Macaca fascicularis: one gene and its partners. The protein of the gene in region 1 interacts with the protein of each later gene in a pairwise test. Links are inferred from orthologs where the notes say so. Each region holds a gene or a part of one and is shown in the gene's direction. Other genes may lie near its edges.

Region 1 (3,744 bases):
GTTACCCTGAGACACCCGGACGGCCCAGCTGCTGACATAGATGGGGGCTCGGACCGAGGCCCACCCCACAGCCCGGGGGCGGACGAGGGCCAGGGCCAAGACCCGGAGCAGCCACAGCGCAATCGGGGCGGGCCGCATGGAGGCGGGGCGGGGCCGGGGGCGGGGCCTGCGCAAAGCCCCTCCCTCCCGCCAAACCGCCGAGTGGACCCAGGCGTCCTCTCAGCCCCCGGCTCCATAGCAACGCGGAAGGCTTCGACTCCCAGGGGGCCTTGCGGCTACTCAGCCAAGACGGGCGCGAAGATCTGACAGAAGCGGGGCAGGGACGCACGCCTGCCCGTCTCCCGCAGACCCACACCTTCGGGAGCCTCAGTTTTCCCATTTGTACAACGACAAGACTAACCCAGAGAAGCGGGTTCACTGTTGCAGTAACGCGTCCTACCCTTTCTTTGGCCTCGCCCACTTTCCAACACACCCCTCCTTCGAGAATCAGCCCGGCCTCCTATCCGGGCTAATCAGAATCATTCTTTCGAGTAATCCCGCCTCCCCCGATAAGCCCCGCCCCGTTCCCGCCCCTACCATTCCAACCTGCCTCCTTTGTGATCAGCCCCGCCCTCCACTGCTCTCGCCAATGAATCGCGTCCCGTTTCTCCAATCGGCTCGGATTTTTCTTTAGCCCCACCCACCGGCTCCGCCCCCACCCGCGCCTCTCATCGCCCTGGCTCCACCCCCTCAGTGTCGCAGCCAATAATCCCGTCCCCTGACGCCGCCCTTCCAATCAGCTACGTCTCGCTCTGGCCCGGCCAATCGGTGCCCTGGGCCGGCGCGCCCCGCCCTCTCCCGGCGGGGTCTGGGCAGCGGCGGCAGCGGGCGGAGGGCTATGCGGCGGGGGAGACGGGGCAGGCCCCACCTCCTTTGTCCGCCCTGCCCTCCCATTGGTCCGGGCGGGGGGCCGGGGGCGGACACCGGCGCCGGGCCGGAGCAGCGCGGCTCAGGCTGCGGGAAAGCGGCGCGCGTGCAGCGGAGTGGGTGCGCGGGTCCGCGGGCGAGCTCGAGCAGCCAACCCCGGGCGCGTCGGGGCCATGGACGGCCTGAGCCAGCGCGTGGAGCGCTTCCTGGAGCAAAGGAACCTGGTCACCGACGTGCTGGGGGCGCTGGAGGCCAAGACCGGGCTGGAGAAGCGGTATCTGGCTGCAGGTGAGCCGTCGGCGCTAGCCCGTTTCGCCAACGGGCACACTGAGGCCATGGGCCCGGGGGTCGCAGGTCTGACTCCCTCCCCGGCTACGGGGTCCGGTCCTGCTCGTAGAGCGCGCGGGGTGACCGGGACTTCGAGGTCCACCCGCAACTCCTCCCTTGCCCGCGCCCTGCGACCCTGCTCCCGAGCCACCCCTCTCTAGCTTCCATCCCTGGCCGTCCCCCGCCGCCTCCTTCTGGGCGCTGGGTGCCTGCCATGCCGAAGTCCGGTTCTTCCAGTTGCCCAGTGGCCCCGGAGAGGCCAGGATGCCAGTGTCCTGCACGTTTCGCCGTCCCCCTCCCCCCGTGGACCCCGACCTGGCTGCAACAGTGGAGATCTTCCCGTTTTTCCGAGGGGAGGCTCCAGGCGGGGAGGGGAACGGACCGTCCCGGGGGGCTGCTCAGGACTCTCCTCTCCTCCTCCTCTCCTGCCCTAGCTCACCTTGCCCCGCTCAATGGCTTAGTGCCACCGCGCGTAAATATTTGTTAAGACGGAGTTGGGTTGTCTGACAGCTGTGATGTGGGGAGGTTGGACTGGGGCCCACAGAGCGGGAGATCCAGGCACCCCGATTGTGACTCCATTACAGTTCTTCCGGGCCTTTCACCCTTGGTGACGCCGCGCCCCTTCGCCTTTCCAAAACTACAGCAAGAGCATGTAGTAAGCGCTCCTTAAATGCCTCTCTCCCCACCTTTAAAACTTTTTTTTTGAGATCGAGTCTTGCCCTGCCGCACAGGCTGGAGTGCAGTGGTGCAATCTCAGCTCACTGCAACCTCTGCCTCCTGGGTTCAAGCGATTCTCCTGCCTCAGCCTCCTGCGCAGCGGGGATTACAGACGCAGGTCACCATGCCCGGCTAATTTTTGTATTTTTAGTAGAGACGGGGTTTCACTATGTTGGCCAGGCTGGTCTCGAACTCCTGGCCTCAGGTGATCCGCCCACCTCAGCCTCCCAAAGTGCTGGGATTACAGGTGTGAGCCACCTTGCCTGGCCTAAAACTTTTTAAAGTTAACTTTTTTAAGAGACAGGGTCTCACTATGTTACCCAGACTGGTCTCAAACTCCTGGGCTCAAGCGATCCTTCTGCCTCAGCCTCCCAAAGCTCTGGGATTTACGTGGGAGCCACTGCTCCCAGCCCCACTGGCTCTGCCTTCTCTTCCAGGAAGCTCCGCAGAATGACTTGAAAGGACTTGATCTGGGCCTGGGGTGTTCTGGGTAGAGGACAGTGCCACTTTTTTGAGCACCTTCTGCAGGTGGATCCCCGGAGTCCAGTCCCCCCCTCCATTTTCCCACCATCTGGGGGTTCCCATGCCAGGCAGCCTGAGAACAGTCTGAAATCTGTGTCCAGACCCTGGAGGTCCCCAGGTGCCTGGTCCCATGTGCAGTGCAGCAGGTGGCATGGGCATGGCCTGGCTGTGCCTGCCCCCGGGAGCAGGTCCCTGGCCTCTGCCCTCCCTTTCCACATCCCTGGGGCCAGTGGGCAGGAATTTAGGTCACAGAGCGCCCAGGAGGCAGGCAGCAGGGAGGGGCTGGCTGGGGCACTGTGTCACCAGAGAGGAAACTGAGGCACAGTTTCCTCTGCGCCTGTTGTGTCTGAGGCGTACACCCCTCCACCCCGCCCACTCCCAGTCCCATCTGCTGCTAATCGTGGGGGCTGGGCCCCCCTCCACAGTTCTGATGTCCAAGGTCATCCTCCCGTTGCTGAAGCTGCAGGAACAGGGATTTAAGGGAGGGACACCCTGGGAGAGTCACTCCTCCCCACAAGCCAGGCCTGGGGAGAGGTAGCATTCCCTCATCCCCCTTCTCCCACCTCATTTAAATCGACAAATCCCACACCCCTGGGTAACATACGAAGAAACTCAGAGGAGACAGTGACCGGGAGGCCACACAGCCTCCCAGCTGGGGGACTCCGCCTACCCGTGACCTCAGGTGCTTGTGGATAAAGACTAAAGCAGGTAGGAGGGGCTGGGAGGGACTTGGGCCTCTGCCCTTTGGTCCGGAAGCAGCCTCTATCTCACTCTGCAGATAGCAGCTCCAGGGGAGGAGGAAGGAGGCTGTCCAAGCTCTCTGAAGCACGGGGGTTCCCTGTGTGACCTTGGGCAACACCCACCCACCCCCAGTTCTGAATAAGATAATTCAGGGAAAGCACAAAACCTGGCACACAATAGGCGCTTAATAAATGCAGCTGTCGTCATCATTCTTTTCAGAGCCAGGTTCAGGATTGGGGCTGAGCTGGACACACACACCTTTTTCTCTGAACACCCTCCTTGCTGGGACTGTGTTATTGTTGCCTGAAGGCACTTAATAAATGTGGAGAAGGGCAGGTCGCGGCGGCTCACGCCTGGAATCCCAGCACTTTGGGAGACCGAGGCGGGCGGATCACCTGAGGTCAGGAATTTGAGACCAGCCTGGCCAACATGGTGAAACCCCGTCTCTACTAAAAATACAAAATTCAGCTGGGTGTGGTGGCACGCTCAGCTACTCAGGAGGTTGAGGCAGGAGAATCGCTTGAGTCCGGG
Region 2 (3,744 bases), on another chromosome or scaffold:
GAATGAACAAGGACAGCTTAAGGGTTAGAAGCAAGATAGAGTCAGGTCTGATTTCTTTCACTGTCATAAAATCCTCAGTTATAATTTTGCAAAGGCGGTTCACCAGGAGTTTGAGACCAGCCTGGGCAACATAGCAAGACCCCCATCTCTACAAAAAATTTAAAAAAAAAAATTAGCCAGGTGCAGTGGTGTGCACCTGTAGTCCTACCTACTCAGGAGGCTGAGGCAGGAGGATTGCTTGAGCCCAGGACTTTGAGGCTGCAGTGAGCTGTGATCACGCCACTGCACTCCAGCCTGGGCAACAAAGTGAGACACTGTTCAAAACAAAACAAAAAAAGAAACCTTGGGAGGCCGAGGCCGGCAGATCACAAGGCAGGAGAATGGCGTGAACCCGGGAGGCGGAGCTTGCAGTGAGCTGAGATCCGGCCACTGCACTCCAGCCTGGGCGGCAGAGCGAGACTCCGTCTCAAAAAAAAAAAAAGCCGGGCGCGCGGTGGCTCACGCCTGCCTGTAATGCTGGCACTTTGGGAGACCGAGGCGGGCGGATCACGAGGTCAGGAGTTCGAGACCAGCCTGACCAACATGGTGAAACCCTGTCTCTACTAAAAATACAAAAATTAGACGGGCGTGGTGGCGCGCACCTGTAATCCCAGCTGCCCAGGAGGCTGAGGCAGGAGAATCGCTTGAACCCGGGAGGCGGAGGTTGTAGTGAGCCGGGATGGCGTCACTGCACTCTAGCCTGGGCGACACAGTGAGACTCAGTCTCAAAAAAAAAAAAAAAAAGAAAAAAGAAAAAAAAATCGTGGGAGCATCACAACTCACAGCACCCTCCTGTTGTGTGAAGGCCCCTCCTTTGGGTCTCTCACAGGACTGGCTCCAGGGCTTCAGCCTTGGAACTAGTTGTGGACTTCTCTGAGTCCCTTTGGAATATTTATCTTTGGCTTGGAATAATGCAACAACATACTAGACCCAGCCTTGCCTTCTCTATGCCCCATTCCTCCCCAAATGATTCCAAGAGTGTACACCTAATCCTGAATCCTTTGCTGCACTTGCCCTAGTGAAAATCAAAGGTCTGCAAAGGCCGCGTCATTCCTGAATGAGGTTCGGAGTCTGATGTTTCTGTGGGGGATTAACATTAACTACACTGGAGAAGAATTACAGGATACAGCCAGTAAGGAGGGAGAGAGAGGGAGGCAGGTGCGATTCCTTCCACCTAAGCTTCCTGGCCTGGCAGGCAACCTTTCCAGGGTCTTTCAGGCTGCAAGCGACAAATAGATGAGGATTGTGGGTTTCTCACGCGTAGGTGGCAGCGGCAAGTTAACCCCAGGAGAGGTGCCAGTCAGCAGATAATTTGCAAACGAATGTATTCTCCTCCTCCTCCGAAGATCTGAGCCTCACGAAATACACTCTTTTCTTCCTTTTCCTCCCTCCCGCAGTCGAGTCGCCTTCCGTCCTGCTAGGGTCCCCTCCCCGCCCGGGTCCCCTCCCCCGCCCGGGCTCCTCTCTGTCTCCCCCTCCCGGACGGCGTCCTCGCTCCGCTGGGCCCTCCTCGCCACCAGCTTGTGAATGAGACGCTCAGTTTCTCAATGGAGCCGCGGGGGGCTCGGGCGGCCGCGGGGCGGCCGCAGCGTTGGCCGTGAGCCAGGAGGGGGGCGCGTTTCCCTCTACCTCTTCGCTCCCTCCCTCTCGCTGCGGCCGCCCGCAAGGAGCCTGGCTGAGGCAGCCGCGCAGGTCGCAGGGCCAGCGTCCGCGAGGACGGCCCGGCTGGGCGGCCCCGAGTGCTGTGGCGCTGTGGAGAAGCGGGAGTGCGGCCGAGGAAGCGGGGCGCCGAGGGGGCCGGCGGCCTTCGTGAAATTTCCGCCGACCCTTCGCTCCCGGCTCTAAAAGTTCCTGATTTCCGATTTCCTTTTAAATCCCGAGCGGCTGTTAGCTCTTCGCCTGCACTTTTTCTTCCCCAGGAGATAAGGGGGAGTGTGAGGAAAGGAGCGAATAATATAAAAAAGGATTTCCTCCCGGAAGAGAGGGGCAGTTCGGAGAGATTTTTCTTAAAGAAGCAGAAGCGGCGTTTGCGGCTGCTGCGGGCGCCGGGCCCTGGCCGGCCCCACCATGCTCGAGCCTGCCCGGGGCTGCTGAGGCGCGGGGACGCGGAAGCGGAGGCCGAGCGTGCCGGGCTCCCGCGCTCGCGAGCGAGTTCTGTCCGCCCGGCGGCGGTGGCTGGGGGATGGAGCCCGCGACCGCGCCCCGGCCCGACATGGCGCCGGAGCTGACCCCGGAGGAGGAGCAGGTAAGCGGGCCCGAGGCCGCCACGGTGGGTGTGTCCGGGCCCCCGAGGCCTACGCCGGCCTCTGCCTCCCAAGCCCCGGCTCTTTGCAGCCACGGGCCCGCAGCGCCCCCGCTCCCGTGCCCGGCCCGCGGGCCTCCCTCACCGGCGACCGCGCCCCAGGCCGCCACCCCCTCGTCAGTGCACCCACGGGACCCTGCTCCAGTTCCTGCAGCTTCTTTCCCCGAGGCTTACGGGCCTCAGACGGTGCCCTCCCTACCCCACCCCCCATTCCAGGGGCAAAGTTCTTTGGATCCAGGGGCCTCCTTCCTGAGGTTTGCAGAACCGCTGCTTGCCCCCGGCCTTTCCACTCCCTTGTAAATGTTTTCCGTGAGGGTTTGTGGCTTTTGAAGGGTAGGAAAAGCCCCAGTTTGGGGGGTGCTTCCTGTGGGGATTATCTCCCTTCCCGAGGAGAGGGCTGAGAGTATTGGATGCATAGATGCCCTAGATTTTCAGAGGAGCCTCTTAGGTTTCTCAGGCCCACTGGGGCAGGTTCTGGAAGATCCAGCCCTTCTCGTGCTTCTAAAGTTCCTGGCCTTGACTCTCCTATTCAGCTATCCCAGACGGGGAGCATCTCTTCACCCCTGCTTCCCTACCCCCGTCTCATCTGACTGTCATCATCTTTCTGAAGCTTACATTGAGCTCTATTGTTCCTTAAAAGCCTATGACCTTTAGTTCTCAGAAGGAAGTGTTTTGCTGTCTCATTTTGGGGGCCCTTGTAACTTTCCCTCCCGCACATTCCAGCTGCAGAGACAGGGACCACTCCTGAGGAAGATGGGAAGGTCTGCTAGCTTAGATTGGGAACCCTACGGGCTTTTCGCTGTCTCTTCCTTGGCAGTGCCTATACCCCGCCATAGCTATGCTCCATTATAGTCATAGTCTGATTCCATGTTATAAATAAAAAAATAAAAATAAACATGAAAAACGAAAAAGGCAAACCATGCTGGCAACCCATTTCAAGCTCTACAGCCGTTGTTTCCAAGGACCACATTTGCTAGCACAGCCTCTAGTGTGAAGACAGTCTAGTTTTACAAACTATTATTGGCTAATGGGCTTGTTGACCTGATTTTTTAAAGTCCTTGTCTTTTCTCCTCATTTGTAGAGATGACATTTTTCTATTTGGCCTCAGGCCACGGTTTTGCCTTTTGACACCTGGTGATGAAATCAGTATGGGAAAAAAATTTAAAGAGAATTCTGCTTTGTACAAGCAGTGGTAATGAATGTCCTGGTAATTGCAGTTGGATGTTAATAAAATGCTAGTCAGGCCCTAGTGCAAGCAGGTGGCCATGGAGCCCATCCTGCCAGAATTGGAAAGTACTTCAGTACTAACATAGGACGTGTTGGCTGATTTTAAAGGGACAAATCTCTTTCTTTCATCCTTTTTCTTGGGTCAGGCAGATTTCTGTTTTTAAGACTTAAAGGCA
Region 3 (3,644 bases), on another chromosome or scaffold:
AAAGCCTCTATTTCCTTATCTCTTAAATGGGCATGTTAATTGTGTCTGCCTCAGTGGGATCTAGGATAAGGAATAGATGTTTTTATTTATTTATTTAGTGTGTAAGAGACAGGGTTTCACTCTGCAGTCTGGAGTGCAGTGGTGTGATCTCAGCTCATTGCAACCTCTGCTTCCCATGCTCAAGTGATCCTCTCACCTCAGCCTTCCAAGTAGCTGGGACTACAGGTGTGCCACATCACCACACCCAGCTAATTTTGTGTATTTTTTGCCGCTATTGGGTGTCACTATGTTGCCCAGGCTGGTCTCAAACTCCTGGACTCAAGTGATCTGCCCACCTGGGTCCCCTAAAGTGCTGGCATTACAGGCTTGAGCCACCGTGCCTGGCATAGGATATATTATTAAACTGTCAAGTACCCTAAACCATAGGGCATTATTTTAAAATTATTATGAACATAACATGATGAAAACTGAATCTCGTTTTCACTTCAGACCCAAGTCTGCCCTTCCAGAGACCTCAGCTCCAGCGATGGTTTCTTCTGTGTCCAGGGCGCTGAAGCACAGGACCTTCTCCCTCAGGGAAGGAGGTTCCTGAGGCAGAACCTCCCTTCTTTTTTTTTTTTTTTTTTTTGAGACGGAGTCTCACGCTGTTGCCCAGGCTGGAGTGCAGTGGCGCGATCTCGGCTCACTGCAAGCTCCGCCTCCCGGGTTCACGCCATTCTCCTGCCTCAGCCTCCTGAGTAGCTGGGAATACAGGCGCCCGCCACCGCGCCTGGCTAATTTTTTGTATTTTTAGTAGAGACGGGGTTTCACTGTGGTCTCGATCTCCTGACCTTGTGATCCGCCCGCCTCGGCCTCCCAAAGTGCTGGGATTACAGGCTTGAGCCACCGCGCCCGGCCAGAACCTCCCTTCTTTGGAGACTTGGGGTTCTTTGGTTTCAGAAGGAGATGCAGGGCCATTGCCTGTTCAAGGAACCGGGATAAAAATTGTGCTGATGGCCGGGTGCTCACGCCTGTAAGTGTGAGGCCGAGGTGGGCGGATCACTTGAGGTCACGAGTCCAGACCAGCTTGGCCAACATGGTGAAACCCCATCTCTACTAAAAATACAAACATTAGCAGGCGTGGTGGTGCATGTCTGTAATCCCGGCTTCTTGGGAGGCTGAGGCAGGAGAATCGCTTGAACCTTGAAGGCAGAGGTGGTAGTGAGCTGAGAGTGCACCACTGCACTTCAGCCTGGGCGGCAGAGCAAGACTCCATCTCAAAAAAAAAAAGTTGGGCTGAGGTTGGAGCAGTCCAGACGGGCCTTTAGAGGTCCTTCTATTTGACAGATGGAGAAACTGAGGTACATAGTAGGAAAAGTTTCTAAAATTATATGGAAAGGCTTAAAGCCAGGATGCCTTGAAGCCAGAGGCCAAAGGCCAAAGGCCATTGCCCCATGAGGGGGACTGGGAGGCACCTGGGGCAAACAGGGTGAGAGGGTGTCAGATGGCGGTCTCTGGTCTCAACCAGCTCTTGCCTTTCTTTCTCAGTTCATCTCAAAGAAGGACCCAGAGGATGTCAAAGAGGTGAGGCTCCTGGGAGGAAGAGGGCCCATTCTGCAGTTCCAGATCTGGAAACTGTCAAGGGGCAGCTGGTAACTCTGCTTGGACACCGGCCCTCCTTCCTCCCTGTCCCTGGGCAAGGGGCTGCTGCAGCTGCATCCTGATCCTCACCCACCCTGGGGGCAGGCTGGGCACCGGGGGCGGCTGCCTCCCACCATTGCCGGTTCTGGGCAAGTCTCATGTCCCTCGTAGGTGGTGGTCTGGAAGCGGTACAGCGACTTCCGCAAGCTGCATGGAGACCTGGCCTACACCCACCGCAACCTCTTCCGCCGCCTTGAGGAGTTCCCTGCGTTCCCCCGGGCCCAGGTGTTCGGTGAGTGTTAGATCGGGGCACTCAGGCCAAAGATGAAGGGAGCGTTGGACAAAAGGGGACCTCTGCCAGTGGGGGCTGGATAGAGAGGGCCTGAAACTCTGGGCAGAGACATGTTTGGAAGGGCTTTTAGAGATGACCTCATTTGACAGATGGGGGAACTGAGGCTCAGAGCAGCCTAACACTTACTGTGTATTGCACCTTTTAACATTCCTGTTGGGCCAGGCGTGGTGGCTCACACCTGTAATCCTAGCACTTTGGGAAGCCGAGGTGAAACTCCATCTCAAAAAAAAAACAACAAAAATCCTGTCTTTATTAGCTCTATTTTATTTTCCTTTTTTTTCAATTTTTTGTTGTTGTTGACAGCCTCTCTTTGTCACCCAGGCTGGAGTGTAGTGGTGTTATCTTGGCTCACTGCAACCTCCACCTTCCAGGTTCAAAGGATTCTCCTGCATCAGTCTCCTGAGTAGGTGGGATTACAGGTGCACACCACCATACCTGGCTAATTTTTGTATTCTTAGTAGAGACGGAGTTTCATCACATTGGCCAGGCTGGTCTTGAACTCCTGACCTCAGCTGCTCTGCCCGCCTTGGCCTCCCAAAGTGCTGGGATTACACACCTGAGACACTGCACCTAGCCTATCTCAATACTTACTATATTGATTACATGTTGCAGTGAGAATATTTGGGATATATTGGGTTAAATAAAATATTAGCCGGGCGCGGTGGCTCAAGCCTGTAATCCCAGCACTTTGGGAGGCCGAGACGGGCAGATCACGAGGTCAGGAGATCAAGACCATCCTGGCTAACATGGTGAAACCCCGTCTCTACTAAAAAATACAAAAAACTAGCCGGGCGAGGTGGCGGGTGCCTGTAGTCCCAGCTACTCGGGAGGCTGAGGCAGGAGAATGGCGTAAACCCAGGAGGCGGAGCTTGCAGTGAGCTGAGATCCGGCCACTGCACTCCAGCCTGGGCGACAGAGCGAGACTCCGTCTCAAAAAAAAAAAAAAAAAAAAATTAAAATTAACTTGTGGCTGGGCGTGATGGCTCACACCTGTAATCCCAGCACTTTGGGAGGCTGAGGCAAATGAATCACGAGATCAGGAGTTCGAGACCAGCCTGGCCAACTTGGTGAAACCCTGTCTCTACTAAAAATACAAAAAATTAATTGGGTGTAGTGGCGGGCGCTTGTAAACTCAGCTACTCAGGAGGCTGAGGCAGGAGAATCGCTTGAACCTGGGAGGCCAAGATTGCGTCGTTGCAGTCTAGCCCGGGCGACAGAGTGAGACTCCGTCTCAAAAAAAAAAAAAAAAAGTTGTTTCTTTTTTCCTTTTATTTAATGTAGCTGCTAGAAAATGTAAAATTGCATATGTAGCTCATATCTGTATTAGACAGTGCTGAACAGTTGCTCGCGTCTGCGTACTCACGTGAGATGTTCTTTGTTGTTGTTGGTTTTTGTTTTTGTTTTTTGAGACAGAGTCTTACTCTGTCACCCAGGCTGGAGTCCTGTGGCATGATATCAGCTCACTGCAAACTCTGCCCTCCCAGGTTTGAGTGATTCTCCTGCCTCAGCCTCCCAAGTAGCCAAGTAGCCTCCCAAGTAGTGTGCGCCACCACACCTAATTTTTTTACTTTTAGTAGAGACGGGGTTTCACCATGTTGGCCAGGCTGGTCTTGAACTCCTAACCTCAAGTGATCCACCTGCCTTGGCCTCCCAAAATGCTGGGATTATAGGT

What was found.
Region 2: the proteins of REEP6 (region 1) and PTPN9 interact in binary tests that used the Homo sapiens proteins (3 or more experiments, as listed by UniProt). The two-hybrid records come from large-scale screens. The link is inferred for Macaca fascicularis from reciprocal best matches to the Homo sapiens genes REEP6 and PTPN9.
Region 3: the proteins of REEP6 (region 1) and SNX15 interact in binary tests that used the Homo sapiens proteins (3 or more experiments, as listed by UniProt). The two-hybrid records come from large-scale screens. The link is inferred for Macaca fascicularis from reciprocal best matches to the Homo sapiens genes REEP6 and SNX15.

The regions. Positions count from the first base shown.
Region 1 is NC_088393.1:2,086,621-2,090,364, forward strand, and holds the start of REEP6 (receptor expression-enhancing protein 6), read left to right. Parts: upstream 1-997; 5' UTR 998-1,079; coding exon 1,080-1,194; intron 1,195-3,744. Other genes in the region: PCSK4 (proprotein convertase subtilisin/kexin type 4), read right to left, coding at 1-138. UniProt on the Homo sapiens protein: Required for correct function and survival of retinal photoreceptors. Required for retinal development.
Region 2 is NC_088381.1:52,800,047-52,803,790, reverse strand, and holds the start of PTPN9 (tyrosine-protein phosphatase non-receptor type 9), read left to right. Parts: upstream 1-1,526; 5' UTR 1,527-2,221; coding exon 2,222-2,284; intron 2,285-3,744. UniProt on the Homo sapiens protein: Protein-tyrosine phosphatase that could participate in the transfer of hydrophobic ligands or in functions of the Golgi apparatus.
Region 3 is NC_088388.1:9,343,279-9,346,922, reverse strand, and holds part of SNX15 (sorting nexin-15), read left to right. Parts: intron 1-1,527; coding exon 1,528-1,563; intron 1,564-1,791; coding exon 1,792-1,912; intron 1,913-3,644. UniProt on the Homo sapiens protein: May be involved in several stages of intracellular trafficking. Overexpression of SNX15 disrupts the normal trafficking of proteins from the plasma membrane to recycling endosomes or the TGN.